Linked DNA regions of Schizosaccharomyces pombe. The gene in region 3 interacts genetically with the main gene of each other region. Each region holds a gene or a part of one and is shown on either strand. Other genes may lie near its edges. The genes, in order: byr2, moe1, ras1 and byr1.

Region 1 (8,638 bases), on a different chromosome or scaffold from region 3:
AAATTAAAATATGGTCGATGGGAAAATAAAACGTTGTTTAGTTATCATAGCGCTGTTCTGGTTTGACCTAAACACAAGCAATTAAGGCGCTTCCCAATGTTACAATATATATCATAGAATGGGTTAATTGTTTACATAGGACTGCGTTGAATTCTTTAAATAGAATCTTTAGCCTCGAATTATGAAGTTATCTGACTTGTTGGATATCCTCAGCTTGCCAATTGATTGATAATAAGCATATGAGCTTGGACAGTGAATATTCAATATTTGGTTACTCAGTGCAATTTGTTTTGTGATTCTAAGCAGAAATGCTCTTTATAAACATTTACTGCACTATCTTGAGTTTCTAGAGCTTGTTCTGTATCCAAATTGTAATGACTGGCGATTCTCAAGTGCCAGATCTTATACCTCTTTTTATGTCTTTACCAGACGTTATCGTAATGCCTGGACACAAAACTAAAGTGTAAATTTGTCTTTCCTATGAAATGCTTGGTTTTTCATTAAAGTGTTACGAATTCGAAACATATATCTATGATTTTTGAGTATACACTGGCGGTATCTGTTGTTTAAGATAATTTAGTTTTGAGTTATTCGAGGCAATCAATTTCTTATCAAGTGTGATTCTCTTTTTAGAAAACCAAACTAAAAGTAAATCTATTGATCTTTTCAAGTATTAAGACAACTTGTTTTCTTTTGGATAAAATGCTTTTATTGTTGCATAATAGATTGATAAAGGTACGAAATGTATAAATGCATTATTTTATGTTGAGTACTTTACTCTTTCAGGATTGTGTTTGAGCTAAGCTTCTTGCATCTCTCATTCATCATCACACATCTATATTGAAAGGAAAGAAGGTAAAAAACGAACAAGAACAAAGTGAATACAAAAGAACGAATTGGATTAGTATTGTTATTGCATGAAAGTGATCTTATGACATGCATCACTATCCTATCCAAATAGTTTGTAGAGCCAGTTAGTAATAATACTTTCCAATAATTTGAATATGTGTGGCATGCCATTTGGCACGATTTTGAGAAATACAAAAATAAAATCATCTTGTAAAAGAAGAGCAATTAGCTGCTTTTTTATGTACCAGCTGAAGGAAAAACATTTGTTTTTCGACGTATAAAAAAAAACAGAAAGACATCAGCTTAAAGCTTTAAAGCTAACTTGTTTAAATAAGTTTGTAAGTTACAAGTACAATACTTTCTATTACACTTGGCACTCAAAATCGTGTGGCATATGATTATAACGATGCCTCGGATTTCCTTACTTGGCACTAGGTAATACGGTACACTAACCATGACAATACACTAGACAAACGCGAGCAATCTTCCAGCCCTAGTACCTAAGATCCATTGCAAAATTGTTTTGGTTGCGAGACTTACCTGTTTTATCCATAACCATTTGTTAAAACCTTCCTTTGAAGATTTGAGAAACAGGTATCATTTGTGGACATTGGTCTTTACAATTTCCTTGTTTCGTGATTATAAATATTTTTTCCCGGATTTGTGTTATTTACTATAATTTATTGGTAAATTATAACACAAGTGCTCATCTGCTTATAAAGCAAAAGGATTTTCACGAAAATTCCCTAGAAAGTAACCTGTTGTATTTTTGTCGCTTTTGGTTTCTCTTTGTCATTATACTTGTTTTAATTCATTTTTTAATTTTTAACAATGCTTGGGATAAGAAAAAATATCAGAATATCAGTTAACTTTCTGCAGCGAAGAACCATCACTGTAAAGCAAAAACTGGGCAAGAATAGGCCCCTACCAGGATGGGATCCAAATTCTGAGTATTTTCGTCCAGGACCCACCATGTTAAATCGCTTACAAGAACACTTGCATGATACCATTTTACCGGATGTATTAGCTGCTTCATATCGACATGACATAGATACAGCGTTAAGCACAGATGAACATACACAGAAAGACAGACTTCCAAGGTGGATTGGTGATAACCCTTATTATAAAAACCGGCCTCCTCAGAAAATGCGTGGTAATAAGCCTCTGTTACCAGTAAAGGAGTCCGTTAATCCTAAAAACCTTCCTTCTATTAGCAAAGTTGTCGTCAGCACTATGCATAAAGAAGCACTCGTTGACAAAACGCAGCTCTTGAGTACAATGATGGCATTTCGTTCTATAACGGGTTTGCAGCCCGAAATAGTCTATGCACGTAAGGACGTTTCTCCCTGGAAACTTCGTTCAGGTGTGCCAGTAGGTGTAAAGGTTACTCTAACTGGAGAATCTATGTATACATTTCTTTCAATCTTATCTGAGTTGGTTCTTCCTCAGCTTCATGATTTCAAGGGCCTGAGTCCTACAAGCGGAGATCAAACAGGAAACATATCTTTTGGTTTACCAAGTGAAGTCATGCCTTTATTTCCCCAAATTGAAGCTGTTTATGAGATGTATCCGCACTCTTTACCTGGATTTAACGTAAATATAACAACCAATTCCAAAGATACCCGTTTGGCTCGTTTTTTCGTCAGCAGTCTTATTCCATTTACAGATGGAAATAAGGAAGGCTATGTTGGATAGTAGACAATTTATTTTATATCTACTATACCTAATCTTTTCTCCTCAAGGAGTGAACAAAAAATCCCCTTCTCTACGACTAATGCATACATACGTTTTTGAGTTTTACTTGTTTAAGTGATAGAATTCCCGTAGATATGTGTTATTATATATTTATGTTATCGTTTTCACAAAGTAAATAAAAATAAAAAGTTTTTTCTTGAAAAGGAATAATCAATGGATATTTTTTAAACAAACTGAACATGTAAAATAGTATTTTTTTAGTAACTAAACTCATAATGGTATTTATCAAGGACATTCACAAAATCATTAAAAACATGAATATTGTAGAAAAATATAGCAACTTAAATCATACGGTTTATAGGTTAAATAAATTCATTAGTTCTAAATGGCATAAATGCAATGATAATGATGCAAAAAAACATAAAAAAGATAGATCGTAAAATAATGTTTCTGTTTTCATCATAACTTAGCCGGCTTATGAAACGAACGGGTGGCTCAACAACTCTGATGCTGTAGGTCTAAGATTACAATCTATGGCAAACGTTTTCTCAAGGAAATCTATGGCCGATGAAGAAATGTTAGAAGGGAATTCCGGCAGAATGTTCTCCCCAATTCTGAAAATGGCCTGCATTTGATCACAATTCGGATAAGGGTGCTTACTAGTGAGCATCTCGATTACCAAACATCCCAAAGACCAAATATCTGTTTTCTCCGTATGCATAGTTTGCTTCACCACTTCGGGAGCCATCCAAAAAGAAGAGCCTTGAAAAGAAGGGCGAGCACCACCCGTCTTCGTAGAGGTACTATTTAGTTCAAGTTTCTTCGATATCCCAAAGTCCGAAATTTTAATCTTCCCTTTATTATCAACCAAGATGTTCGCACCTTTTATATCACGGTGTACAATGCCGCGTGAATGAAGGTATTCTAAGCCTTTAAGGGTTTGCTTAATAAAGTTCTTGACTAGCGTTTCCTCAAAGCTTCCATACATTGTAAGCAATCCGGCAACCGACCCCCCAGGAACATATTCCAAAAAAATGTTCAAGTGGTCCGAATTTAAGTTAGAACCGAGATATTGGACAATATGCTCATGAGACAACTCCTGTAGAAGAGCAATTTCACCCGCTAATGCATCTAAAAGTTTGGCATGGCGGTCTTTTGATTCAGAAACAGAATCTAAGATCACTTGCTTAACAGCCATCAACTCACCACTAGATGCATTCATACCGAGATAAACTTGTCCAAACGATCCTGAACCTATTAACGCACCACGTATCCATTTGATAGACTGATCATCAGTGTCCTCTTCAAGTGTATTTGTGTCCTCACTTGTAGTGGAAGTTGGAGAAATTGGGGATGGTTGCTCAATAAATGATGGGGATGAACCAGGTGAAAAGGAAAGTACTTGATGGTTGCCATGCGCGCTTTCTGAAAAAACATTATACTTCGACGATTTTTCATTTCCGTTGGACTGGTATAAAGGTTCCACACCAACCATGGTTATGGATTTTTGAAGCGATGGTGGTCTAGAAATACGCTGAGTAGAAGATACAGTAAGTGGAGGATCAAATCCCCTATCAATCCTAGGAAGTCGGTTAACATCTTCAGCAACAGAAATCCTCAGAGAGGAAAGAGGACAAACCAATTCGGAAGGGCGAGCCCGCCGAGAGCTTCTTGGCAAAATTTCTTGACCAAAATTACCAAGATTGTGCCCTTGAGACGTACGTATGCTAAGGTTTCTACGAAGAGAGTTTGATATTGTTTTTTCCAGTAGCTTTGGTTGATGATCGGGGAAAAAATCGGAAATTCTAGAATTAATAAGCTCGCTAGGAGGTCGCTGGTAGGATTCAAATGGTTTCGCATTATTTGAGCGGACACTTCGTTTCTGAGTGCTCGTGGGAAGAACAGAGGAAAGTTTAGGAGAAAGGGAGGACTGTGATGATAATGCTGCCGGTTGAGCCAATTCAATCTCCCAAGAACGGCGGAGGTCTTCAAACGATGGACAAGGCTTTTCTTTTGGCACAATAATTAACCTGTCGCGTTCCGGTGAAGATGAATTAAAACAAATTTGTTTAAATTCTTCTTCAGTAATCAGCTTAATTCGACTACTCTGTGAAACGCATACAATGAATTTTGAAGCATCTTCAAGGCTAAACTTTTTCAAAGCAATAGCGAGTGTTTTCTGGTAATCTCCTCGTGATTGAACTGCTCGAGTTTGCCCGTTACAGGCAATAAACCTCAGTATACATGGACGTGGAAACTCTCGTAAATAGTCTCTTTGTTTTAAAAATTGTTTGCCTTTGGCGGTGTTTTCAATGCCTAGGTCTTTCAGTAAAGGCAAGGTTAAATGATTTAGGTGTCGTCCTTCAATGTTATTTTGTGAAAATTGTTCGATATACTTCTCCAATCCGATACTTTTCAACCATTCTGCTACCTCCTTCGAGGTATAATATTCCATAAATGCAGGAAAGTGGTTGTACAACGTATAACTTCTAAGTTCAAAGTTGGTAGCATTTACGTTTAACCTGCCTCCCTTAGTCTCGTGCTCTTTGACGTAACAATATAACTATACACTTTATAACCGATATTAGTTTCACTAAATCTCATTACCAAAATGAAGCTGCCAAAAAATTCGTAAAGGCTGCTTGTTTATATAGGTATTGCAATTCTCACCCGGCACAGATTCAGATATCTATTAAATAACACTTACGTACATATACGAGTTCCACAAGGAGTCTAAATATCGACGAGAAATTGTAATCAGATATTAAAATCTAAAACTTTCGTATAAACCATGTGTAGCAAGTGAATAATAATCTTTCTCTTTATCTGCAATACAAATGTCGTTAACCACCGTTCAGATACTACTGGTTTAAGGTACGAACGTAAAGTACTGTTTTAACAATTTCAATGTTTCAATCGGTTTCAGAGGACGGCAAGAATCGCGCACTAAAATTAGCAACCCGCAAATGCGCATTCTGAAAGCGATTTTTGGTTTGTAACACAATCACGACGGATCGTACAGATCTTTCAAAAAAATCAAAATTATAAGTGCCAAAAATATATGTGTGGGACTTCAATTTAAATTGTTTGATGTGACAATGGTTCGAACATAAAACCAAGCAATGTTTACCAAAACAAATTTCGAGATACGGTCGGCAATTCAACCATAACAATAATTTACAAATAATAATAAACGTCGGAAGCAAAAAAAACGGGAATGGAAGTGACTAGGGTTTAAAAGTTTCAAAAGAATGCATTGCGCGTAATTCATCAATCAGCGAGTTTAAAATGCAATCGTGGAAAAGTTCTATAAATGTGGTTTACATACAAAGGAAGGAATGAAGCCAGTTCTGTCATGTACAATTTGACAAAGATGAAATAGAGCCATCGAACGCGATGATTTTACGAATAGAAATTCCTCATCCAAACAAGCCGTGCCACATATAGTAAAACAAGACTTGGAATAAGTGTGACGTGAACCAAAAACCATCATGAACATAATAAACACAGTCAAGTTGGGGTATGGAAGCTTTGACTTTCAGCAAACATGCAATAATAAACCCTGTCGGTAAGCTCAACCCAGTATAGTTTAGCAACATGATGATCAAAACAGCTGCCTTGTACAGTAACTTAGATTAAATAAAGTAACAGTAGCCGAAGCTACCATTATCCACCTCTTTTAACCACTGTCTACATAGGTTTTGCTTTTGTATTAAACAAGAAGGGAGCGCTTATCAACCATAAAGGATTTCTGCACAAGAGCTGATAAAGTTGCAAACATAACAGGTGAACAGATATGCTAATAATGAACTCGACTCAAAGCTTAGCTTCTTGGTAGCGTTTAAGCTTGCATACTACAAATCAACAGATATGTCAAAAGTTAGCAAAAGTCAAAACCTCCAACCCAACGTTAACCACCGAAAAAGAAATAAGTAACCAAATTCGTTCGATGTCAATGAAACATATATGTCTATCAAAAAAGAGATATAAATAAAAAATTTAATGAAATTCTTTGAAATAATGGCATAATGGCAATATGACCCAATACACACCATATATACTAACAAGAACTGGTTCAGCTCACTTCTCCAAATCCATTACGAAAGACCCAAAACACAAAAACAACTTCAAGAACTGCCATTCGAAACAGCATTATATTGCCAATATTATTTAACTGAGGGAGTATGTTGTATAGGTCGTTATTAATACCAAGAAGCATTTGACATCTTCAAAATATATGTATATATAGTAGAATCTTCAAATTATTAAAGTTACTCCTTCTCATTTGATCCAAAATAATCATCCATCTCCTTGTCGAGCTCTTCGGCGGATTTTTTAGGACGATTAGGAGTTCTACGGCGGCGTGTAGTCTTCCGCTTGGAAGATTTGGCGCCATTCTTGCTAGCAGTGGCGCTAGCGTTGCTGGCAGGACTTACACGTGCAGCCAAAGAATTCAATTGACGACTAGGATCAAGGATTATCTCAACCTTCATTTTTCTAGTGCCATCAACCAAACGACCCTCATACTGTTCATAAGCTCGAGTGGCATCACCAGGACGAGAAAAAATGATAGTTGCAATACCTTTCGAACGACCGTTGGGACCGTAAGCCAAGGAAACGCGTTTGCAAGGTCCTATGGATTTCACAAAAAGCTCCTTAACTTGAGCCTCGGTAACGTCAGTAGGTAAGTTAGAAACAATAATTTTAGATTCCTCAGAAATGACGGATTTAAGGGCAGAGGCAGTGTTCACTGCGGGTTTCGCGTTCTTTGTTGGCTTTGGCTTGTTAGAGCGCGCACGACGCTTTCTAATACCTCCTTTAGGCTTTGAAGCAATTATGGCGTCCAAGGACTGATCTAATTCCATAGACATTTTTATCGAGTTACTGTTGGGTAGTTAGTTGTTGTTAGGTGGTAAAGTGGCGGGTGGGGTTTACAACTGATCAGGATCTAGGTAAGGGTAGTACACAAGGTGTCGATATTTAAAATTATTATTTTGTAGATTCCTAAATATATTTAGCGATGTTGAACGCTTACTTTAAAGTCTTCAGAAATTTGACAAAAAAATAATATTACAAATTAAACTTACTTTACACTTTATTGGCATCAGAACTAGGATGGACGCGTTCACTTATAAAAGTTGAGAGATTATTGATAAAACAGAATTTATTGTTTTTTTGGAAAGCAATTTTTGTAACCATAATACCAAACGTTTGATATGATGCCTACACGATTAGATAGATGCAAACGCTTCGCCGCTTCTTGGTAGCTTAACAATGCAGAATCTAGACAGAAGAATAACGATTATGCAATTTTTAGAAACACGGAAAACATTCAAAGACAACATAATTCAGAATTAAAAAGCACGATTCAGTGCAACAGAATCAAGTATAAGAGATTATATAAATCCGTTATCTCACTAGTAGACATACGACGAATGCGCAATAAAACTAGGTAATCATAACAAACAGTTTGGGAGTTGGAAAATCGCAATAAAAAATTTTATGCTTAATCCTTAGAAAACAGCAAGCAAAGGTTTCTCATTTAAGTATCAAAAGGAGAAAAAATAAACAAAATAAGGACAAAAACGATGCCCGAAGTAAAATCTTTGCTAATGAAACAGAAAAATAAACTCAAAGCATCCATGGGCCTTTTCATCTATTCACAATGTATTTCTTGATGAAGCTAGTTGTATAAGTAGACTACTAATTTTTGAAGGCGAACTTTAAAAAGGAAATCCGCGATCCCTATAGTAGTAGCGGATGTATATACATCAAGCAGTATTAACAAATCAGAATTGCATCAAAAGATATTCCAATAGATAACAAAGCCACACGAGAAAGCAAAATAAAAGTCCAACGACAAAAATAAAACAGATACTGATAAGAAGTTGGTTCCTTTTTTTCGGTATACTACTTTTCAATTTTTTTTGGGAAATTTTTTTTTTCTCTGTTAAAATTTGAAAAAATAAGAAAGTAGAAAAGCAAGATCAAACGGCAAATTAATTTCAAGAGAGCCGAATTCATCACGGAGATGATTAGAGAATACAATATGACGGGTTAAACAAAAGTTCCCGTCATACAATATGAAAAGAGA
Region 2 (8,243 bases), 2.5 Mb from region 3:
TGCCGTAGTCATATTATCATTCGAAAATATATAATTTAAAGGTTAATAAGAAGAATTAACGTAAACGTCGAGTCTTATATTATATTAAAAAATGTGGAACCCCAAAAAGAAGTCAGAAGCATTAGCTAAGTTTAAATCCTTTCCTTACCCTAAGCCAGGCACTTCCAATGTACTTGATTCCAAAGAAGGTGATACTAGAAGGAAGTATTTTACCAAGACGCATCTACATAGGTTATTCGTCTTTGTGGTACTGTTGCTCTGCTCAGGCTACTTTTTAAAGCATACACTCTTGACGCGTCCCAAAGAGAGTAATGTTGTTATGATATTTGTCAATAACATCGGAGGTGGCGTTTTAGATGTAAAAAGTCCCAGACAATGGGAGCTGGAGAAGATTTCAACGGAGAACAAGAAGAAATACGCTGAAAGGCACGGATATCATTTCTTTGTGAAGAGCACAGGCTTAAAGAGACGATATGCTCATGAATGGCGTGAATCTTGGGAAAAAGCAGATTATATCATGGAAGCCATGAAGAAATACCCTCATGCTGAATGGTTTTGGTGGGTCGATTTAACAACATTCATCATGGAACCTCAATATTCTCTTGAAAAGCTTATTATTAACAGACTTGACCATATTGCGACCAGGAATATTACTGATAGCATGGAGTTCAATCCAAAAAATTTCCACGAAATTCCATTTGTTGACTATAGTGAAGATATCAACTTTATTTTAGGGCAAGATTGCAACGGTTTCAGTTTGGGTTCTTTTCTGGTTCGTCGAAGTGATTGGACTAGCAGATTGATGGACTTCCTTTGGGATCCAGTAGTCTATGGGCAAAAGCACATGGATTGGCCTCACGATGAGCAAAATGCAATTGAGTACTTCTACGAGAATAATGCTTGGCTTCGAAGCGGCATGGGATTCGTTCCTCTTCGCCTTTTCAATTCATATCCTCCAGGTGCTTGTGCTGGTGAAGGTGAAAATCCTCGTTTCTTTTATAACCAAAAAGAAGGAGACTTCTTGGTAAACTTGGCAGGCTGTAATTATGGAAGGGACTGCCTAGATGAAATAAATCATTATAAGGGATTAGCGCAAAGAAAACGGGGTTGGAGGAAGTTAGTTCCGTTTCTTTAATAGAGACCTCACATATTTCCATCATTATTATTAATATTTTAAATTCATACTTTATCATTCTTTTTCCTTGCGTGTGCTAGGCTGTCAATGCGATCCTTTATCATGTGATGCACTAAACTCTCTCCTTTGCTACTTAGCAGCTTTTGCGGTCATTTAACACTGCTTAATATTTGGTGCTTTCCGTTTTTATACATTAATTTCTTCGCAAACAATTGTTTTAATAGGATTAGATGTGTATATTTTTTATGCGACATGTGATGACAGAAAAGAGAGAATGTCTGAGAACCTTGGCGTTCATTTTTTTCTTTCTTCAAAAGACAGCGTTGACGAAATTAAAATTTTCTAAAACATGCTTTTGTCAGAAACATTTAAGCCTTGAGACAATGACTATAAAGGCAAAGTCTGATGTCGTAATCAGTTTTAAATTATAGCATAACATATCTTTTATTTCAATATCAATTTCTCCCATTTTTTAATTTAATAACATTTAGTGCTGATATAACCTGCTAGTATGATAAAGTAATTCTACCTACTATAGTTTTATAATGTAGTGAGTGGTTGAGATTTCCACATATCGTCTTCTGAATAGGCATGTGGGTTCACAAATAAAGAAGTAGTTTGATAAATACAGTAACATATACTAATTGTTAATAGATGTAGTTTTTCTACAAATATAGCACCTTGATTGCAAAAGGAAATGTATAACATTTAACTTTTTCACGAACCAAAAAGTATATATATTACATTTAAGTACTTTTGTATTACAAATAAAGCTTTAGAACTTCAAATATTACCATTGTTGGCTTTGGTGTTTTAGCGTCTCCCAGTTCGTTTGCACACTATACTGGCGTCCACTTCGAAGAAAACTTCACCACTCCCAAATGGCAACTGGATTTAAATTGCCTGAGTTAGCACCCGTAAAATCAGCATGGGGACCTCCTGAAACGGAACAGATAGGAGGTGATATTCCTTATGCTCCTTTTAGTAAAGGTGACCGTCTTGGAAAAATTGCAGATTGGTCTGTTGATCAACCTAAAGATGGACGTGAACAACGTGGACGTCAAGGAGCATTTGCTGGTCGTTTCCGTGACCAATATCAAACTTATGGTTATGGCGCGTCGTCCATTTTTGGTTATCAGCATTCGGAGGACGAATCCAGTTTCTCGGTGATCGATCGTGGTTCTGTCAATCGTACACGCACTTCCGCTCGCAACGGCGGCACTTTATTGAAGGTTCGCGGTAGAGGACAAAACGTTCAACGAGGTGGTCGTGGCGGTCGCTACGGTTCTTCTGGTGGAAGAGGTGCAGGTGATACAGTGGTTTCTAGATCCTCAGGCGCTGGAGGAGCAAGAGGTCGTCGGTTTGGTTGGAAGGATTATGATAAACATCAACGTCTTCGCAACGCCAGTGTTACTGTTGGTGACGACTGGCAGCTTCTTGACGAGGTTGAGTTCAGCCATTTATCTAAGCTCAATTTAGCTGCTGCTGCTCCTGTTACTGTGGATTCATATGGTTATATTTATCCTTATGACAAATCTTTTGACAAGATTCATGTTAAATCAGAAAAACCATTACAAGCCTTGGACCGTGTTCATTACAACCCTACCACTACTGAAGACCCCGTTATCCAAAAACTCGCTCTTAATAGTGATGCTAACATTTTCATTACGGATTCCATTTTGTCTTTATTGATGTGTTCAACTCGCTCAGTGTATCCCTGGGATATTGTAATTACTCACCAAAGTGGAAAGCTATTCTTTGACAAACGTGAAGGCGGACCTTTTGATTATCTCACTGTCAATGAAAACGCATACGATTCTCCCATGGACGCTGACAACCGCGAAGGTGTTAATTCTCCTGGAGCCCTTTCTGTCGAAGCTACGTACATTAACCAAAACTTCTGCGTCCAAGCTTTACGTGAAACCGAAGAAGAGAAATATAAATTACCTCATCCCAATCCCTTCTATAATTCTAAGGAAGAAAGTGAGCCATTGGCTGCTCACGGTTATATCTATCGGGATGTTGATCTTTCTCTCGAGACAGACGAAAAGCCTGTTAAGCTAATGGTTCGTACCGAAGTTGACGGTTATGTTAAAAATCCTGCGAACGATGTTCAATACATTTCTATCAAGGCTCTTAATGAGTACGATCCCAAATTTACAAATGTTACTGGTTCTGTGGATTGGCGTTCCAAGCTCGAAAGTCAAAGAGGTGCTGTGTTTGCCACTGAAATGAAGAACAATAGTTGCAAGCTTGCCCGTTGGACTGTCGAAGCTTTATTGGCTGGTGTTGATAGCATGAAGGTTGGTTTTGTCAGTCGTTCAAATGCCCGTGACGCTCAGCACCACGGCATTTTGGGTGTTGTAGCTTATAAGCCTGCTGATTTGGCTTCCCAAATGAACTTAAGTTTGTCTAATGGTTGGGGTATTGTTCGTACTATTGCAGATGTCTGTTTGAAAATGCCTGATGGAAAATATGTCCTTGTAAAGGATCCCAACAGACCTATTTTACGCTTGTACTCTGTTCCACCCAACACTTTTGAAGAAGCTGCTGGACCCTCCCTTGAAGCTTCTTCTACTGCTTAAAAAGGACGGATGTAGAAAGTTCATTAAAAAGGTTACATGTATAATACTCAATTACATGTGCAAATCTAAGATCTTTAAATCGGTTTTATATTTTCGGTTTCTTTATTTTTTAATCTTATGAACTGTTTCTCGGTAAATTAGAAGCTAAGTGTAAAGTAATGTATTTGTTGGAATAGTAAAAATGAAGCGAAGGAAAATTAAGTGCCGTTTAATTCATTTGGAAATATCTGATTTTCGATGCTTCCAACGTGATTTTTTTCATGAACATTGCTTTTAACACACTTTAGGGTATTACGGTAAAAAAATTAGAACTCGATTAGTAGAAAACCGATATAGCTCATTGCCACTAGCCAAGAGATCGTAAAACGGTTTCAAGCTTAGTCAGAATATTGTGGTAAAACAAGAGGTAAAGCTTTTAGCAAAAATTCGTTTGAAGAGAATTTACACCGGATTACACTTATAATTTACCATACGTGGTTTACAAAAATAGCTACTAAAAGTTCACTAAGCACGTGAAATAAAGACTTTTACTAAGCATTTGCTTTAATATTGGCTTTTCTATGCAAATCCAAGAAACTGTTCCTTTAGATGCACCAGAGCATTGCCCCGGACCGTCATCTGAAAATGCAGGAACTGCATCAGCATGTGAAGGATGCCCTAATCAACAAATTTGCGCTTCAGCACCTCGTGGAGAAGATCCAGATTTACCATTGGTTGTAGAACGCTTGAAAGAAATCAAGCACAAAATTCTTGTTTTATCAGGTAAAGGAGGTGTTGGAAAGTCCACATTCTCTTCGCAATTAGCATGGGGGTTATCGCTTGAAGAAGACAAGCAGATCGGGTTAATGGACGTGGATATTTGCGGGCCTTCAATTCCGAGAATAATGGGTGTTGAAAAGGAGGAAGCCCATCAATCAAGCAAAGGCTGGTCCCCTATTTATGTATGCCCTAACTTGGCTGTTATGTCAATTGGATTTTTATTACCAAGCGAAGATTCATCTGTTATATGGAGGGGGCCCAAAAAAAACGGGCTGATCAAACAATTCATCAAAGACGTTAACTGGGAAAATTTAGACTATTTGATTGTTGATACTCCTCCGGGAACTAGCGATGAACATTTATCTTTGGTTCAATTTTTTAAAAATTCCGGAATTGATGGTGCTGTTGTAGTTACTACTCCTCAAGAGGTTGCTCTTCAAGACGTCCGTAAAGAAATAGATTTTTGCAGAAAGGCGTCCATCCCTATCCTTGGATTAGTGGAGAACATGAGCGGTTTTGTATGTCCTTCTTGCAAAGGCAAGTCTAATATATTCACTATTACTACAGGAGGAGGTGAAGCGTTAGCAAAAGAAATGGGACTACCATTCTTGGGTAAAATTCCTTTGGACCCATTGATTGCACGTTCATGTGATTTTGGAAAAAGCTTTATTGATGAATGTCCTGAATCGCCTGCTTCCGAAATTATCATTGATATTATTAACAAAATTGATGAGAGTTTACAGAAAAGGCAATGAAAAAAATATAAAAAAAGGTTGGAATCTGCTTAATTTCAATTTTTTTGTATAATATAAAATACGTTTATTCAAATATTTATTGAACCTTCTGAGTATATTCCTTGTATATCCTCATTGAGCACTTAAAGTAAACATGTAGTCATTGTGACATTTTTTGGATTAAAAAGAAATTTGAAATCCTTAGTTAATGGATATAATACAAGACAATGCTAAAGCCTGCAATTCAAATAAAAACTCGCAATCAACATAAGCACATTAGTATTCCGAGGATCTGAAGATGCATTGCCCGCGGAATAGCCGACCACCATAGTGATACCACCAAAATAAAAAATGTCAAAGATGGGATCCTCAAGCATGGGTGAACTTCAGGATGGGATAACCCAAGAAGACTCCATTGAAAAAAAGTCAAAGAATGTTGCTTCACACGGAGAAAAAAGGAAAGTGAAGCGAAAAAAAGAAGACCTAAGTATGGATGGTTCAAATGATGGAGTGAAAGATTCACCAGACTCTAATGACGACTCTCAGAGTAAAAAAAAGAAAAAGAAAAAGTTAAAAAAATCTCAGCAACCGCTAAATGAAGAAAATTACCCTAGATTGCAAACTACGGAAAACAATCTTCAAAAACCCCTAAAAATTAGCGACCTACAAGAGCTTGTATTCTGGTGTTTAGCTGATGGACAGGCTCCTTCATGGGTTCTAGTGAGAAATAAACAAATGATTCATAGAGCAGTGATACTTTTAGTTCCTGGATTGGAGCCTAGTCAATTTGGGTTTCAACCCGTGCGCGGCAACAAGCACTCATTTTTGCTGCCGAATTTGCTAAATGAAAATGGCCCCATTCAATTACCTGATTTTTGTGAAGTGTTTGATCGCGCATGGCCTACGAGATCTCCTGGAGATCGATTTCGTGTCTTTTCTCCGGTGAATGCCTTTTTGCAATCTCCTCTGAGTAATGAACAAAAGAAGAAAAGAGATAAAGAAACACGTGCTATGGCTAGTTTTTCCAAACCATCTGATTACTTAATGAGTTATGAATCTTTCATTGAAGACGAATACCCATTACATCCTACTGTCATGAAGGGTGAAGAGGTTACTCAGCCTTCAGGATGGGTTGCTTCTGCAGGAGATTTTCATTCTCCTCCTATAAATCCCAAAATTCTTGCTATTGATTGCGAAATGGTGCGGACTGAGAACGGGTTAGAAATAGCCAGAGTAACTATTGTAGACATGAAAAGTGAGGTTATTTACGACGAATTTGTAAAACCAGAATCACCCGTCACTGATTATGTTACCCAGTATTCTGGCATAACTGAAGAAAAACTGAGAAATGTTACTACTGTTCTTTCCGATGTTCAATCTTACTTAAAAAAGACTGTGGACAACAATACCGTTCTTTTAGGCCATAGTCTAAATTCTGATCTTAATTGCTTAAAATTTACACACCCTCATATCATTGATACGGCAAACATTTATAATCACACTCGTGGTCCCCCTTCAAAACCATCGCTTAAATGGCTTGCAACGAAGTGGTTGAGGCGTGAGATACAAAAAGCGGGAGCTCTGGGGCACGATTCTGCAGAAGATGCTCTTGCTTGTGTGGATCTTCTAAAGTTGAAAGTTAAGAATGGACCTGCCTTTGGGTTGTTTAACCAAGACTTTGAGTCAATCTTTCATAGATTGTCACGACAGCAGCCAACTCCATTGATTGGTGCAATTGCCGACTATGGTAATCCGGAGTCGTGCATTGGCAAAGCGGCTCATAAAAGCGTTTCTTGTGCGAATGATGATGAAGTCGTAAGCGCTGTTGTAAGTCTTTCAGACATGCATAACTTCGTGTGGGGTCGTTTTCGCGAATTGGAGCATGCGGCTATGTGGAACGCTAATCGAAATACAAAACAAGAAAACAACTCTGATACTGATACAGAGAATGATTCGGTAGAAGAGGACCAAGTAACTAGCTATTCTTCTGCTTTAGAGCGTTTTAATCGAAGAATTCGTCTTTTATACGACTCCTTACCAAAAGGTTCTCTATTGCTTTTGTATACTGGTACTGGAAATCCCATCGAAATGTCAAAATTAAACGCTATTCGCCAACAATTTAGAAAAGAATACCAGACCAAAAAATGGGATGAGCTATCAGTAAAATGGACTGATGAAGAAAATATGAAATATATATCTGCTGTTGAAAACACAAGGAATGGATTGTCTTTTATGACGATCAAATAAGTGTGTTTTTATATTGCGATCAAGTAAATTTTGGGTAAAGGGTCTGCATTTTATTGGTCATAATAGATAGTTGAAGAAAACAATTGTTTTGGTTTATGTATATGTTGAAATTAAGAAAGGTAAACAGCTAGTCAGACACGTATATTAGGGGCGTTTTTATTATTGGATGCCACTAACGCTACCTTGATTGTAGATTAATACCTTTCCTTCTAGTAATGTGTTTCTAGAATGCGCTAACCTTTTCTACAATGCTAATTACGAAAATGAAACAAAATGCTGCCAATTTATTATTTTGGATATATTTTGAAAAATCATGATTTTTAGGATTCAATCTAATTTAAACGTTGCTGCATAAAGCATGGCTAGTAAAGTACAAGAACGTTAATTTGTCTTTCATAAGGATAAGGAATCGTAGACATCTTCGGATCATTCTTGCATTTTTTTATCCTCAGTTTCTTCAGATGATTTTTGAGCAGCAACTTCTTGACGTGCTCGTTCCTCCGCCATTGAAAGTTCCAAGGCTAACGCCAATTCAACGTCAAGATTAGGATCGACTCCATACTCAAATTGGTTTTGAGAAGCAACTACACCTTGTCCAATAGGGGATTGATTTACCAAATCTGAAAGTAACTGCGGGCTAGGTGGAATGCTGACAAGATGACTAAAATTGTTAATACTAGTAAAAAAAAGAAGCCAAAAATGTCCGAAAAATCCGTAGACTTACCAACTGTCACTTGAATTAGCAGCGTCAATGAAATGCTGCAAAGCTGATTCATTCTGAAG
Region 3 (7,117 bases):
TTGAGAGTTTACGAAAAAAACACTTTAAGTGAGATTGCTCATCATAAGTTTAATGAATATGAAATGGTTGAAAGTATCATTTTAATGAATGATGATAAACGTGTGGTTGTGGGCACAGGTTTCAACTTTCCAGATCAAGATGCCCCAGATTCAGGCCGTTTAATGGTCTTTGAGATGACTTCCGATAATAATATCGAAATGCAAGCTGAACATAAGGTCCAGGGATCTGTGAACACTTTAGTTCTGTATAAACATTTGATAGTCGCCGGCATTAATGCCAGTGTCTGTATTTTCGAATATGAACACGGTACTATGCACGTAAGGAATTCTATTAGGACACCTACTTATACGATCGACATTTCCGTTAATCAGGACGAAATCATCGCAGCAGATTTAATGAAGTCTATTACCGTTCTACAATTTATTGATGATCAACTAATAGAAGTTGCCAGAGACTATCATCCATTGTGGGCAACATCCGTTGAAATTTTGTCAGAAAGAAAGTACTTTGTAACTGAAGCAGATGGCAACGCAGTGATTCTTTTGAGAGACAATGTCTCTCCTCAATTGTCCGATAGAAAAAAGTTACGTTGGTACAAAAAGTTCTATCTTGGTGAATTGATAAATAAAACTAGGCACTGCACATTTATAGAACCACAGGATAAATCCCTTGTCACACCACAGTTGTTATGCGCAACAGTTGACGGCAGCCTCATGATTGTGGGTGATGCCGGAATGTCTAATACTCCTTTGTTACTACAGCTGCAGGATAACATTAGAAAAGTTATACCTTCGTTTGGAGGCTTGAGTCATAAGGAATGGAAAGAGTATCGAGGTGAAAATGAGACCAGTCCATCTGATTTAATTGATGGCTCTTTGATTGAGAGCATCCTTGGTTTACGTGAACCTATATTGAATGAAATTGTAAATGGTGGTCATGAGGGTACAAAGCTTGATATTTCTGTTCAAGATCTAAAAAGTATTATTGAAAATCTTGAGAAACTACATCCTTAACGTTTTCTATCAATTCTGTTTTTGCCGCTAGAATGTAATTTTAAGACTATATGCAATTATCAATGTCTCATTGTATATTTATAGCAAACGAAAATGTTTTTGAATGAAAATCTCCACTATCGTATCTCTTTCCACGGTCGATAAAACGCATGAAAGGAGTTTAACATATACAAAATAATATATGGTGCCGACCTCTTCATGCATGTATTGCGAACACTTGAGCAAAATTTTTAGAAGCTTTTTAATTTTAATAAAGAAATATTTAATGTTCAGTATAGAAAGTTCAAAAGCAATACTTAAATTTGCTGCTAATTTGGTTAAGTTGGGCTGAATAGGGAATTCTTCAAACAATACTTCGTATGCTTTTAAAGGTAGACAAAGCACTAATGCAATATATCTGTCAAATACAAATGGCAGAATTTTTGGTATTTTAATAGAAGATCAAATGTTTATTGATGGATTTAACATAATTAGCTGTTAACATTAATATTTCGTTTTTATTGCACCAGATACCTTTAAAAAATTATAACTTCTGAATTTCTTTATTACTAGCTTGTCGGTTTGCCATCAGTAATTGTTGACTGCATTACTTGAAAACTGCCAAACACATTTTAACGAGCTTAAGACCAACCAATATTTTTTAATTACCAAGCCTACACACTTTTTGTATTTTGTTTTAAAAGCAACCTAAAGAAATATACGATTAAACTTAGTGTGCTTTATAAAATAGTGAATATGAGGGTAAGTCTAAGCAATGACTTGGGGTTATCTTTTATTGATTACAACAAACTAATCAACGATAATATTTATAGTCTACCTACTTAAGAGAGTACAAATTGGTAGTTGTAGGAGATGGTGGTGTTGGTAAAAGTGCTTTGACAATTCAATTAATTCAATCGCATTTTGTTGACGAATACGATCCTACAATCGAAGATTCATATCGGAAAAAGTGTGAAATTGATGGTGAAGGTGCGCTTTTAGATGTATTGGACACGGCCGGTCAAGAGGAATATTCCGCTATGCGTGAACAATATATGAGAACCGGAGAGGGTTTTTTATTAGTTTATAATATTACCTCTCGGTCCTCTTTTGACGAAATTTCTACATTTTATCAACAAATCCTTAGAGTTAAGGATAAGGATACATTTCCAGTCGTTTTAGTGGCTAATAAATGCGACCTTGAAGCTGAACGTGTAGTTTCAAGAGCTGAAGGCGAACAACTTGCAAAAAGCATGCATTGTTTATATGTTGAAACTTCGGCGAAGCTAAGGTTAAATGTAGAAGAAGCTTTTTATAGTTTGGTTCGCACGATCCGTCGCTATAACAAATCAGAAGAAAAAGGTTTTCAGAATAAGCAGGCCGTCCAGACTGCCCAAGTTCCAGCTTCAACTGCTAAAAGAGCTAGCGCTGTAAATAACAGTAAAACCGAAGATGAGGTTTCAACTAAATGTTGTGTTATATGTTAGCAAGTATTATTGCAGAATATTTGAGCTGTTTGGTGAATGCACCGTTCCTGTCTTTTGTTTCATCTCTTTCTTTTCATTTCAATAATTGTTTTTTCATTTAACACAATTATTAGCAGCTATCTTTAAGTACTTCATTTTCCCTTTGAACCATTTGCACATCTAGTTTTGGCTGCTAGTATGATAGCAAATTATTCAATTCAGAGTTGTGGACTTAGAAAAAACGTGTTATTTGACTTTGGGTTGCTATTTCTTGTTCCGTTTTAATAAAATACATCTCTTTCATTGCATGGTCACGATGTAACAATCTGCAACTAATGAATATATCATACACCTATAATCCCGTAGATCTTTTTTTATAAATTTTTAAAAAAGGGATAATTTTTTTCATAGAAAACTATGTCTGCAGTCTCAATCTATCCCTAAAAGCGCTTTGCTGTGATTGTAAACAAAAAAGCTAGTGCTTACCATTGGGATAACCTTAATGTAACCTATGGTAAGTCCAACGAAAAAACCTCTCATACCGGCTTCTTTGTAAGTAGTTTGTACTACCTGCTTAAGTCTAAGAAATGATTTATTTTTTCTGATACCACCAATTTGCATTTTTCGTCGACAAACTTCGAATGGGTAAGAAACCGTTTGACCACAAACTCCTGCAAATGCTCCACAAAGTAGTTCGGGCCAAGTTTTAAGTTTTTTATCTGACTTTTTTGTAGAAACCCATTCGTCAATTTTTTGTTTATGAAAAAAATCAGTTGCAAGATCGTAGGCAAGAAACGACATACCAGCATATGGAAAGATTCCAGTTAACGTAACAGAAAATCCACGATAAAAATTACAGATTTTTGACAAACGGGATAACCCAGGATACTTCTTATTGCACAAAAAATCACGTTCGTGAAATATATCTTTTGTAACTTGAGTTAGGGTAGGATTCTTCCCTGTATTGGTTATGTAGGCTAAACGAACACGAATCAGCTCTAACGGGTATGTAAAAAAAACAGAGCAAGTTCCGGCAAGTGATCCTGATAAAAATCGCCGAGCATGTGTTTCATGTTCAGGGTCACGAATTAAAACACGCCGTACTTGTTCGTATGCAACAAATTTAATGCCCGCATAAGGGAAGACTCTGTATAAAGTAGCAGTGTGGCCTTGATAAAGACCGTGTAAGCCATAGACGTGGTAAATGTGTTTGATAGCCTTATAAAGCCCATGCCGTGAATAAGCATACCCTCGATAAGAAGCGTGATTGGTTTGGTAAAGGATTTTCACTCTATCTAATGGGGCAACTACTGATTTTGCAACGCATCCAGCTGTACCACCAGCAATTCCAGATTTGACTAAGAATTCCCATGAATCCTTTTCCGGATATTGGGCAGTTGAGTTAGGCATGTAGAATCCCTGAAAGTGTTTAAGTTAAATAAAGAGGGGATTAAAAAGATAAATGGAAGGACAAAACTTTTCGTACCAAATGCCTAAACATAAAAAAATTGTTAAAACTGAACGTTTTCAACTTCTTACTACAAACAAAATTACATGTAAATAAGATTTAGCATCAAATGTCCAAATATCTTGGATCAATAACAGTGATTGAAGGAACACGAGAACACTTATAGTAGTAGCAAACAGTAATCTGAATAGAAAACACTTCAGATTGTCCAACAAGATTACCTATAAAGCAATCAATTATGCTTTTGAAAGAAAATGAAAGTATCTTTTAGCTTCTGTTAGAATTCCAGTAAGCCCATAGGTAAGGTAAAAAAAAGGCTGTAATTTAACAAATATATTTGTAGGCTAATAATAAAGGATCAAAAGAAAACCAATCCGTTGCTAAAAAATAAAAAATTAAGCCCCTGAGTATCCCAATAATAAATAAAGAAAGGCACTCCTAATGCTCAAATAATTGTTGAGTTGCCGATTTTTTGGTGTTAATGCCCACAGCACTGGAAGGTGGAAATTAAGCAGGCAGTAATATATTTCTCATAATTAAACAAAAACGTTTACTCAATAGCTTTGGAGATAATTGATGATAATAATTTTGTTTAGATCAATCATAGATTAACATAATAAGAATTTTTGAACTATGATGCTAATTCTCTCAACCTACATAAATTGGTTTATGAACAAAATGGTAAACAAAATGTGATAAACTTAAATAAAGATACTATTAAGGTGAAAATGAAGTTGTGTCTATACATATCCATATTAAAAAAGTTGCTCTAGCAAACTTTAAAAGGAAAATTGCTTGTATATTGAATATGAAGTTCACACTGTAGTAAACTAGTTTTTGTGCAATCGGTAACTGTAAACAAACGATATTTTAAAAGCAGAAACATCAACTTTTTTTACTTATTTGCTAATGCAGTAAAACTTTTCATCCTTGTCTAAACGATCTGTCCTAGCGAATGAATAATGAAATTCACCGAATAAAGATTTTTGTACTAAATAATATGTTACCAACTGTGCATAAAGGAAATATTATATTTTAGCACTTGAAATACCTGTAAATGAATACACATGCTTGTTATACTTTTATAACCAATCACATCGGTAATACCAATGCGAATGCATCCTTTTGATTATGTATAGCATTTGCAAATAAAAAATGATATTAAGAAAGAAGGGGCCATTATTCATGTTGGTCGAATAAGAAAGTACAGAACGACTGACTTACACTGCAAATTATCCTTTTTACCTTTATTGATAAACCGAGAGAATTGCTATTGTAAGATAAAAGTAAAGAATTAATCCGATCCTAAGATATCTAACGTGACACTAAATGAACAAAATGAAAAAAAAAAACACGCCAAGTGCTACACTCATTTCTTCTTCCCCCTTTTTTTTTTCTTTGAACCCTTAGGAGGAGCGGAAGGCTCCGCTTTCTTTTGCTCTGTAACCGGAGAAGCCACTACCTCTTGTTCTATATAACATGACTGTTAGCGAAACGTAAAAATTAGAAGAGCATAGTTACATTAATAACTACTTTTAAAGGAAAACATCTTCCTTCCAAGCGCTTCTTTTTATAACAATGCAAAAACAATTGATATACTAATAATACATACCTGGTTCAGGAGGAATTTCGTTACCTGTGGAGACATAACTAAGTTTGTTTGCAATTAGAAGTAATCTGCCAAGTTCAGCCGCCTTGTCAGTCCTATATTTTAGACATATTCCAGAAGCACTTTCAAAGGCTTTCGCGATTAAATAATTTTGACTCTGCTCATTCGTGCGATATTTGATACTAAGTTTGGTCTAAATGAAAAAAGTCAGAGTTTGATTATCAAAGATATCATCAACACCATACCGTTTTTGGATAAGCCTCCGTTAATGATTTTGACTGTGTGAAGAACTCATTCACAGTTTGCAGGTAAACCATGGTATAGTGGCTGATGGTAGGATCAACACATCAGGCATGCACCTCGTAGTGTTGTCTGAAACACAACTAAGTTATATTTGAGTCAATCGAAGGTTACTAAAATTGAATATAATTCATCCAAAAAACGTAAAAGCTTTTTTTACTATTTTTTCTACTTTTTGGTATACTATATTGGTTTTTCACGTATAACAAACTACTGAAACTATTAGTCGACAAATCTGTCAACTTAAAACATTCCCCTAATTTATGGTATCAAATCAAGACAATGTACAGAGAAATGATGTTCAAAAGTATCCGATAACTAGGTTTGTAAAGCGAAAGAGCAATGTTGTGCTTAAAAAGAACAAAGGAGCTATGAAATCGAATTCAAATTCACGCAGTAGAGGGAACAAAAAATTAAAAGAATCCCAATTTTCTTCTCGAGATAATTTTAGAACCACTCAAACTCAAGCATCTTCGTCAAGTGAGCCTAGTGATAACACGAACAGACTAGTTCCGGTGGTAATTATTGATAATAATACTCCAAAGAAAGAAGAAAGCAATGCCGAAAAGTTAAAGTTAGATAAAGATTCTTCAAGCGTTAATTATGAGAACCAAATCAGCAAACCGCTTATTACTTTCTCCGATATTCACGAAACCGTCAACGTTCCGTTTCTTTGTTTAGACAAGCACGACTCAAAAAATGAGGTTGCGATTAATTCACATGAAGATTCGCCTGTATGTCTTGAAGATATCACCGGGTCACTGTCATCTACTTATGGCAACGATAGTTTAGGTGAATCCAACTTGGAAGAATTACCCACTAGTGATAAAATAAAGGGAGAAAACATGGGAAGTCGAAAGAAACGAAAAGGATTTGTCATTGATTCGGAGGATTCCGACACTGGAATTCCAAGAGAAGAAAATGTTACGATTACGAGAAAGACGAAGCTGTCTTCTAATATACTATATTCCGATTCTGATACCGAGCGACAGAGCGATTCTGGTTCAAAAAACGTTGCAAGACAGTTTTCTCGAATAAAACGAAAAAGGAAAGTTTTGAGCTCATCTTCTGAAGATGATGAAAGTTCATCTCCTGAAGATTTGTTGAAGCCCATAATTAGATCAACAGAAGAAATGGAGAATTTAAATGAATTAGAACAAGAGGTTCAAGATTTGGACCCTATTGATGAAGGTTTCGAAGAAAAAGTGCCAAGATTTCGAAATCCTTCGAAGAAGGCATTTTATGAAAAACTACATAGTTTAAGAAGTAAGTAATTTTTTT
Region 4 (8,034 bases), 1.4 Mb from region 3:
AGCTTGGATCGACAAGTAGTTTCTCCTGAGATTCTCACTGTAAAGTAGCTCACTTAAACCTTAGGTCAGAATTATTTCTTGGTTCGTTTTGTTTTACCCTCTTCCATCCCATGTTTATTTATTTATCTTTGTGAACTTATTCATATTTGTGTATCAGTGATTGACGACTAAATATTGAACCAAAGCAGAACCTACCTCATTCTTATAATACCCATAAAAATTTATTTCTCGCTTTATTCATTTCATTTTTATGAAGCGATTGTTAAGCGATCTTTACCCACTATTATTCATCAATGCTAGTTCATAATTCTTTTGTTTCAACTTTTTATCTTATTATTTAATTCCTAAATTTTTTTTTGGTCCAATAGGCTGTCATATACTCAAATTAATTTCCTCAAAGTCAACGGATTACACCCATAATGAAGTTCTATATTGACGATCTACCTATTCTGTTTCCTTATCCACGCATCTATCCCGAGCAGTATCAGTATATGTGTGATTTGAAACATTCTTTGGATGCGGGAGGCATTGCGCTCTTAGAAATGCCTTCGGGTACTGGAAAGACCATTTCTCTTTTGTCCCTTATTGTTTCATATCAACAACATTATCCTGAGCATCGCAAGCTCATCTATTGTTCACGTACCATGTCGGAAATTGATAAAGCATTAGCTGAATTGAAGCGTTTAATGGCGTATCGGACTTCACAGTTAGGATATGAAGAACCATTTTTGGGTCTCGGACTAACCAGTCGCAAAAATTTATGTTTACACCCTTCTGTTCGTCGTGAAAAAAATGGGAATGTGGTAGATGCCCGTTGTCGCTCACTTACGGCGGGTTTTGTGCGGGAGCAAAGATTGGCTGGTATGGATGTTCCTACTTGTGAGTTCCACGACAATTTGGAAGATCTTGAGCCACACAGCCTTATATCTAACGGTGTTTGGACCCTTGATGATATCACAGAATACGGCGAAAAAACTACACGATGCCCCTATTTTACTGTACGTCGTATGCTACCGTTTTGTAATGTTATTATTTATTCGTATCATTATTTACTAGACCCCAAAATTGCTGAACGAGTTTCTCGAGAACTCAGTAAAGATTGCATTGTTGTTTTTGATGAAGCACACAATATTGACAATGTGTGTATTGAGTCTTTAAGTATTGATTTGACAGAATCTTCTTTGAGAAAAGCTTCGAAGAGCATTTTGTCTCTTGAGCAAAAAGTCAACGAAGTAAAACAGTCTGACTCAAAAAAACTTCAGGATGAATACCAAAAGCTTGTTCGGGGCCTTCAAGATGCTAATGCCGCAAATGACGAAGACCAGTTTATGGCGAATCCCGTTTTGCCTGAGGATGTTTTAAAGGAAGCTGTTCCTGGAAATATTCGACGAGCCGAACATTTTATTGCATTTTTGAAGCGTTTTGTAGAATATTTAAAAACAAGGATGAAAGTTTTGCACGTTATTGCTGAAACACCAACTTCTTTTTTGCAACATGTTAAAGACATTACATTTATAGACAAAAAGCCGCTTCGGTTTTGCGCTGAGCGACTCACTAGTCTTGTTCGTGCCTTACAAATTTCACTAGTTGAAGATTTTCATTCTTTGCAGCAAGTAGTAGCTTTTGCGACCCTTGTTGCTACTTATGAGCGTGGATTTATCCTAATTTTGGAACCCTTTGAAACAGAAAATGCTACAGTTCCCAATCCAATATTGCGGTTTTCCTGTCTTGACGCCTCAATAGCTATTAAACCAGTTTTCGAAAGATTTAGGTCTGTGATTATCACGAGTGGTACTTTATCCCCCCTCGATATGTACCCCAAGATGTTGCAGTTTAATACTGTTATGCAGGAATCGTATGGAATGTCACTTGCACGAAACTGTTTCCTTCCTATGGTAGTTACTCGGGGTAGCGATCAAGTAGCTATTTCTTCAAAATTTGAAGCCCGTAATGATCCTAGTGTTGTTCGCAATTACGGTAATATACTGGTTGAGTTTTCGAAAATTACACCTGATGGCTTAGTCGCATTTTTTCCAAGTTATCTCTACCTTGAAAGTATTGTTTCTAGTTGGCAAAGTATGGGTATTCTAGATGAAGTCTGGAAGTATAAGTTGATTTTGGTGGAAACACCAGATCCTCATGAAACAACTCTCGCCTTAGAGACTTACCGGGCTGCTTGCAGCAATGGCCGTGGAGCAGTATTGCTGTCAGTCGCTAGAGGAAAAGTCTCAGAAGGAGTGGATTTTGATCATCATTATGGTAGAGCAGTAATCATGTTTGGTATTCCGTATCAGTATACTGAGAGTCGTGTTTTAAAAGCACGGTTAGAATTTCTGAGGGATACGTATCAAATTCGGGAAGCAGATTTCTTAACATTTGATGCCATGCGGCATGCTGCCCAATGTTTAGGTCGCGTTTTGCGTGGAAAAGATGATCATGGAATTATGGTGTTAGCAGATAAACGATATGGTCGGTCTGATAAGCGTACAAAATTACCTAAATGGATTCAACAGTATATAACCGAAGGCGCTACAAATTTAAGCACTGATATGTCCCTCGCTTTGGCGAAAAAATTTTTACGAACTATGGCACAGCCTTTCACTGCGTCTGATCAGGAAGGGATTTCTTGGTGGAGTCTTGATGATTTGTTGATTCATCAGAAGAAAGCATTGAAGTCTGCGGCTATAGAACAATCCAAACATGAGGATGAGATGGATATTGATGTGGTTGAAACTTAATAGAAGCCATTTGTAAAATACTTTGATTCTAATCATCTTTACTAAGGCAATCCAAAACTCATGAACACAGCGATGAAGATATTTGGAAGCGAATGGCTAACTTTTTTGTAGGTGTGGACAATGTATGTATCAACTTGTATTCGAGAGTTGTATAGTGGACATTTCAATCGTCATCACGATACGCATGCTACTTACGAATTGTTTTAAGATCGCAGAGCAGAGAAAAAATATTATTTACACTCAGTTGGCAATTAATTTGCGAGTCGCTAAATTCGAAGTACTTTAAAATTTTTTTAGAGACTGTGTTCAAATAAAATCGGTTTCAGTTGTTGTAATGCTTCTTAAATTTTCCATCCCATCAATAACAATCCAGCGTTTCAAAGAGTGATTATTGGCAATTTCATGCTGCTATGGAAATTAAGCTTACATTAAGCGAGCTAGTTAAAATACGTGATGCAGTAATTGTAAGCCTAGTTATATAAACAAAACATCTGTTTATCATTTAGATACATAAAACAAAAGTTTACATATTCATAATATATTCTCATAATCTAAAAAATTTCCTTGATAGTTTTATGTCGATAAAATTAGTCTCCCATACTTAGTTCTAAATAAATGAACGTTTTGGGGTTGTACAACTGATTCATTGCTGTATTCTATGTAATATATAAATTTCTTGAAAATAAAAAATCTTTTGGTTTTACGGATTCACGGTTGGCTTATACGTAATTGCCAAGCACATATAAGATCAATGATGGTTTCTTTACCAAACTACTGTATAAAAAAATTACTCTAGCACAAAAAGGATACCGCTTTCAGGAATTCTTAAATATAGAAAAAAAAATAAGTGTAGCTTATTGCAAGGGTTGTCTCTAGTCACGTTGGGGTAGTCAGAATCCTGTCATAACTACTGCTTTGTATCTTTGATTAGCAAAGTAACTTATTGAATACAGTCAGCTGTCAAATTACAGAAAAAGAAGCAACTTTAATAGTATCTTAAATGATATAATCTTCGATACAGGTTTCTTTGAGAATTTGGCCAATAGCTAGAAATGTTTAAACGACGTCGAAATCCAAAAGGTCTTGTGTTGAATCCTAACGCCTCTGTTAAAAGCTCTGATAATGATCATAAGGAAGAGTTAATTAACAATCAAAAAAGCTTTGAATCCAATGTCGAAGCATTTATGGAGCAATGTGCGCATATGAATCGACGCCCAGCTTGGATATCTGATTTGGACAATAGCAGTTTGGAAGTAGTGAGGCATTTGGGAGAGGGAAATGGTGGGGCTGTTTCATTGGTAAAGCATAGAAATATTTTTATGGCTAGGAAAACAGTTTATGTTGGGTCAGACTCTAAACTTCAGAAGCAGATTTTGCGAGAGTTAGGTGTTCTACACCACTGTCGTTCACCCTACATAGTCGGTTTTTATGGAGCTTTTCAGTATAAAAACAACATTTCATTATGTATGGAATACATGGATTGCGGATCGCTTGATGCAATTCTTCGGGAGGGAGGTCCTATTCCGTTAGATATTCTAGGAAAAATTATAAATTCTATGGTGAAGGGTCTCATTTATTTATACAACGTTTTACATATCATTCACAGGGATTTAAAGCCTAGCAACGTTGTCGTCAACTCTCGTGGTGAAATAAAGTTATGCGATTTTGGAGTTTCAGGTGAACTAGTTAACTCGGTTGCTCAAACGTTTGTGGGGACTTCAACTTATATGTCTCCTGAACGAATTAGAGGTGGAAAATATACAGTCAAAAGTGATATTTGGTCTCTAGGAATCAGCATTATTGAACTTGCCACCCAAGAATTACCTTGGTCGTTTTCGAATATCGATGATTCAATAGGGATCCTAGATTTGCTTCATTGTATTGTTCAAGAAGAACCACCTAGACTTCCATCTTCGTTTCCTGAAGACCTCAGACTTTTCGTTGATGCCTGTTTACATAAAGACCCTACACTTCGCGCCTCTCCACAACAACTCTGTGCGATGCCATATTTTCAACAGGCTCTTATGATTAATGTTGACCTTGCTTCTTGGGCCTCCAACTTTAGATCCTCGTAAATGTGCAAAGGACGCAATGGATACATAAATTATGTTAGACCTTTAAACATCTTGTCGTCAAAAAGAAGGATTTCAGAAAAATCTTTTTAAATTAAACTTTGTCATGAAATGGATATTTTTGGTTCTAACCACACCTCTTCAATTATAGTGGTACAACACAATGTGGAGAACAATGAGATTTTGTCGTTGACGAATATTTCCGCTTTTTTCTTAATACAAAGCATTATTAGATCGGCCATAAATAGGTATCATATTTTGTTTATCAATTTTTTACTTCATTAAAGTGCTATGTAAATGCCCTCTTTTTTTGGTTATTCCATTATTAATTATCATTACGACTGTGTTCAAATGTAATTCTCGGTACACTGAATTGCTTTCGATTTAAGTCAATGAATGTTTTTTTTAACTACTTGAGTTACAGCGTCCACAATAGTCTGAGTTAAGTTTTACCCAAGCAAGTTAATCAGAGTCCTGCATGTCAAATCGCACAACTTCTAATAAACCAGATGATAAAAAATTAAAGCTTAAAGCCCGTAGTTTGCAAATATTACAATTAATACATAAACCATTCAGATGTAAAATTTAACGAAGTAAGCAATTATTATTTACTTGCCAGCTATGCAGTTTGGTATCTGTGTTAACGATACGTAGACTCCAAAGAGTTTTCCTTGTGACCTATTATATTGCAATATACAGGTAATATTTGTAGCTACAGGTTGTATGTATTATACTATCTAGATTATATTGTTACCTATCATTAATTTAGCTATTAACTGAACTGAGGAATGAGGATCAACAGTAGCTCTATTTACAGTATTCAAAATAATATAAATTTTTAAGAGATTATTATTAAGATCACCTAAATATCGTAACGTACGTGTACGATGAATAATTAGGACATGTGACATATAGTGATAATCAACGTAAGTATTATAGCGTAGCGTAATATTACTAACGGCGAACTGCGTAGCTAGTATGCTATTTCTGATTCGAAAAACCACTGTAATAAGTAGCGAAGTACTTTAAGTTTTCATTTCACTTTAACACCAAGCTTTCTGGGTTTTTACTTGTTTGCAAGACGCAGCAAAAGATTTATCAGTGATTAGTGCTGTAGATTGAATTTAGTTAGCCTTGTCACTTGTTAACATTAAAAAATTTTGTTGCAATCCGTTTCACTACGATTGTAATTTTTAACAAGTGTTCATGACTTCGTTGCCAGAAAAGGATCAGCAAGGCGAAGTTAGTGTTTCAGGTAAGAAGTTCGAGGTAATACCGATTAATTTTTTATTAACAGAATATAATTTTAGAAAATCAAAAGAAGCTCTCAGAGGAATGGGAGCCTTATATTGATAAACTTGTTGCATCTAATAGAACGCGTGACGAACGTGTTGAATCAATCCAAGAATTGTTTCAAAAATGTGTCATTGAAGAGAAGTTACCAGTAGACATATTTTTCTCTATTTTTTCCTTAGCTTTTGAAAGATTGGAGGAAAAAAATACCTTAGCTTCTTATGTAATTGATACGCTTTGGTTATTTGACACAGAGTGGATCAAAAACTTTCACGAAGGAAGTCATGATAAAGCTGAAAAGAGGCTTGTTTCAATTGGAAAAGGACTAAAGGAATTCCTTCCAGAGGAATGGTTGCTTTCTCGCTTGGATTGCAAATTTTTGGAAAATATTAATGTCGTTCCTAATGGCGATTTTCTAAATCGGAAAATTGTGCGGACAAATACTTCGCTACTCTACCGCCAAAAAAAATTTAATTTGCTTAGAGAAGAAAGTGAAGGATTTTCACATTTAATGATAAACTTTTTTGATGCTTTAACTTGTCTTCGCAATAAATCCTTAAACGAAGATTATCTGATCGTTCAAGTAAATAAGTCAATTATCAGTACTATTGGTGCTTTTGATTTAGATCCGAACAAAGTACTGGATTTGATTTTGTTGCTTTTTTCTGAAAATTTACTTGATTCGTGGCGCTTTTTCCTTTCTATCTTGAGAAACAGCCCATGGGGTCCGAATAAAGAGCGGAAATTTTGGAATCAGTTACCTGATCGCGAAAAGGAAACATTTTTAAATAATCTGTCTAATGCTAATGGTATTTTTAATTTTGACGAGCGATTCACCAATACAAAGAGCATAATGTCTCAAGTTTTGGGTCATAATTTGCAATATATGTATAAAGAAGATGACGAGAATTTGGAATCTTACTTTATGATGGTTGCTTTGTTGATTAAATATAATTTTATTAGCATTGATAACATATGGGCTCATCTTTCTCCATCAGATGAAGAGCTTGGTAAAGAGTTGGGTAAATATAAGGATAAATTAGATGAACAGACTTTTAAGGCTAAAGGAAATGCTTTAACAATGGCGGCCCCATTGCCCGACGATGAAATTGAAGACGGAGAAACCATGGATGGCCAGAAAGCTGAAGCTGTTCCTGAAATAAAAAAAGCCAAACCTTCACAGAAGCTGGGTCTACTAAAATCTTTATTGTCCATCGGGGATTTATCTTCATCTCTATTAATCTTGGGTCGTTATCCATTTTTGTTGAGGGCGTACCCCGAATTATCTAACTTGTATCACAAACTTTTGCATATTTCTATTTCCTCAATTTATGCAAATTACAGTCCATTGAAATTGTTACCAAATGATGTAAGGGAACGACTTAAACAGCCAAAGTTCATTCCTGAAGACTCTAGGCTTCGAGAAATTACCCTGAGGCCTCCAAAGGAAAAAAATTTAGTGTTTTCGTTGGATCCTTTTGCTGATCGATTCAACAAAACTGAAAGTGAGGTGTTTTATTACTTTGAAAATTATGATGAAGATATACCAATTTTACGTAACTTGACAGAGTTCTACAACATAGCTATCCCATGGTTACGTTTGTCAGGGCTTGCTCTGTGTCATGATCCTGTTATAGTGACAAAGCTTTGCCGCATTGGTCAAAAATGTGTCGATAATAGCTCTGAGAGTCGGACATTATGGCTGGATATTATTAGATCGCTTCTTCTTCCTCTCATCACACTTATTGATGTCAATACTGGACTTTCCTATGAATTATTTGAGTTGCTGTCAAAGTTTGATTCATCCACTCGATATGCGTTGTATGGTGAATGGTCAAGTACCTCCATGAAAAAGTTTCCGGAGCTAAAGCTACAAAATTCTATCACTGAAAAGGAAACAAAAGGCATCTTAAGAAGGTTAACGAAAACAA

Evidence for each region.
Region 1: of ras1 (region 3) and byr2, changing one suppresses a phenotype caused by changing the other (phenotypic suppression), as found in Schizosaccharomyces pombe (6 studies listed by BioGRID, with this or other methods).
Region 2: mutations in ras1 (region 3) and moe1 are lethal when combined (synthetic lethality), as found in Schizosaccharomyces pombe (2 studies listed by BioGRID).
Region 4: of ras1 (region 3) and byr1, changing one suppresses a phenotype caused by changing the other (phenotypic suppression), as found in Schizosaccharomyces pombe (4 studies listed by BioGRID, with this or other methods).

What each region holds. Positions count from the first base shown.
Region 1 is NC_003423.3:1,737,298-1,745,935, forward strand, and holds byr2 (MAP kinase kinase kinase Byr2), read right to left. Parts: upstream 5,048-8,638; 5' UTR 5,000-5,047; coding exon 3,020-4,999; 3' UTR 2,751-3,019; downstream 1-2,750. Other genes in the region: mrpl7 (mitochondrial 54S ribosomal protein uL5m), read left to right, coding at 1,681-2,544; RNA-binding protein Mlo3, read right to left, coding at 6,816-7,415. UniProt on the Schizosaccharomyces pombe protein: Serine/threonine protein kinase involved in conjugation and sporulation. It is thought that it phosphorylates the byr1 protein kinase which itself phosphorylate the spk1 kinase.
Region 2 is NC_003424.3:4,549,835-4,558,077, forward strand, and holds moe1 (translation initiation factor eIF3d), read left to right. Parts: upstream 1-2,005; 5' UTR 2,006-2,016; coding exon 2,017-3,720; 3' UTR 3,721-3,907; downstream 3,908-8,243. Other genes in the region: gmh5 (alpha-1,2-galactosyltransferase), read left to right, coding at 92-1,135; Fe-sulfur cluster assembly ATPase Nbp35, read left to right, coding at 4,281-5,234; rex1 (putative ribonuclease H70), read left to right, coding at 5,589-7,460; 19S proteasome regulatory subunit Rpn10, read right to left, coding at 7,887-8,121, 8,185-8,243. UniProt on the Schizosaccharomyces pombe protein: mRNA cap-binding component of the eukaryotic translation initiation factor 3 (eIF-3) complex, which is involved in protein synthesis of a specialized repertoire of mRNAs and, together with other initiation factors, stimulates binding of mRNA and methionyl-tRNAi to the 40S ribosome.
Region 3 is NC_003424.3:2,015,121-2,022,237, reverse strand, and holds ras1 (GTPase Ras1), read left to right. Parts: upstream 1-1,606; 5' UTR 1,607-1,749; coding exon 1,750-1,755; exon of another isoform or gene 1,756-1,826; coding exon 1,827-2,480; 3' UTR 2,481-2,776; downstream 2,777-7,117. Other genes in the region: protein Ddb1, read left to right, coding at 1-1,014; leu5 (coenzyme A transporter), read right to left, coding at 2,889-3,869; signal recognition particle subunit Srp21, read right to left, coding at 5,297-5,397, 5,540-5,729, 5,782-5,853; SPOM_SPAC17H9.06C (uncharacterized protein), read left to right, coding at 6,100-7,102. UniProt on the Schizosaccharomyces pombe protein: Participates in the process of sexual differentiation and the determination of cell shape. Essential for mating and for recognition of the mating pheromone, but not for vegetative growth. Does not regulate the intracellular cAMP level.
Region 4 is NC_003424.3:664,363-672,396, forward strand, and holds byr1 (MAP kinase kinase Byr1), read left to right. Parts: upstream 1-3,641; 5' UTR 3,642-3,790; coding exon 3,791-4,813; 3' UTR 4,814-5,380; downstream 5,381-8,034. Other genes in the region: transcription factor TFIIH complex subunit Rad15 , read left to right, coding at 420-2,738; THO complex subunit Tho2, read left to right, coding at 6,017-6,065, 6,121-8,034.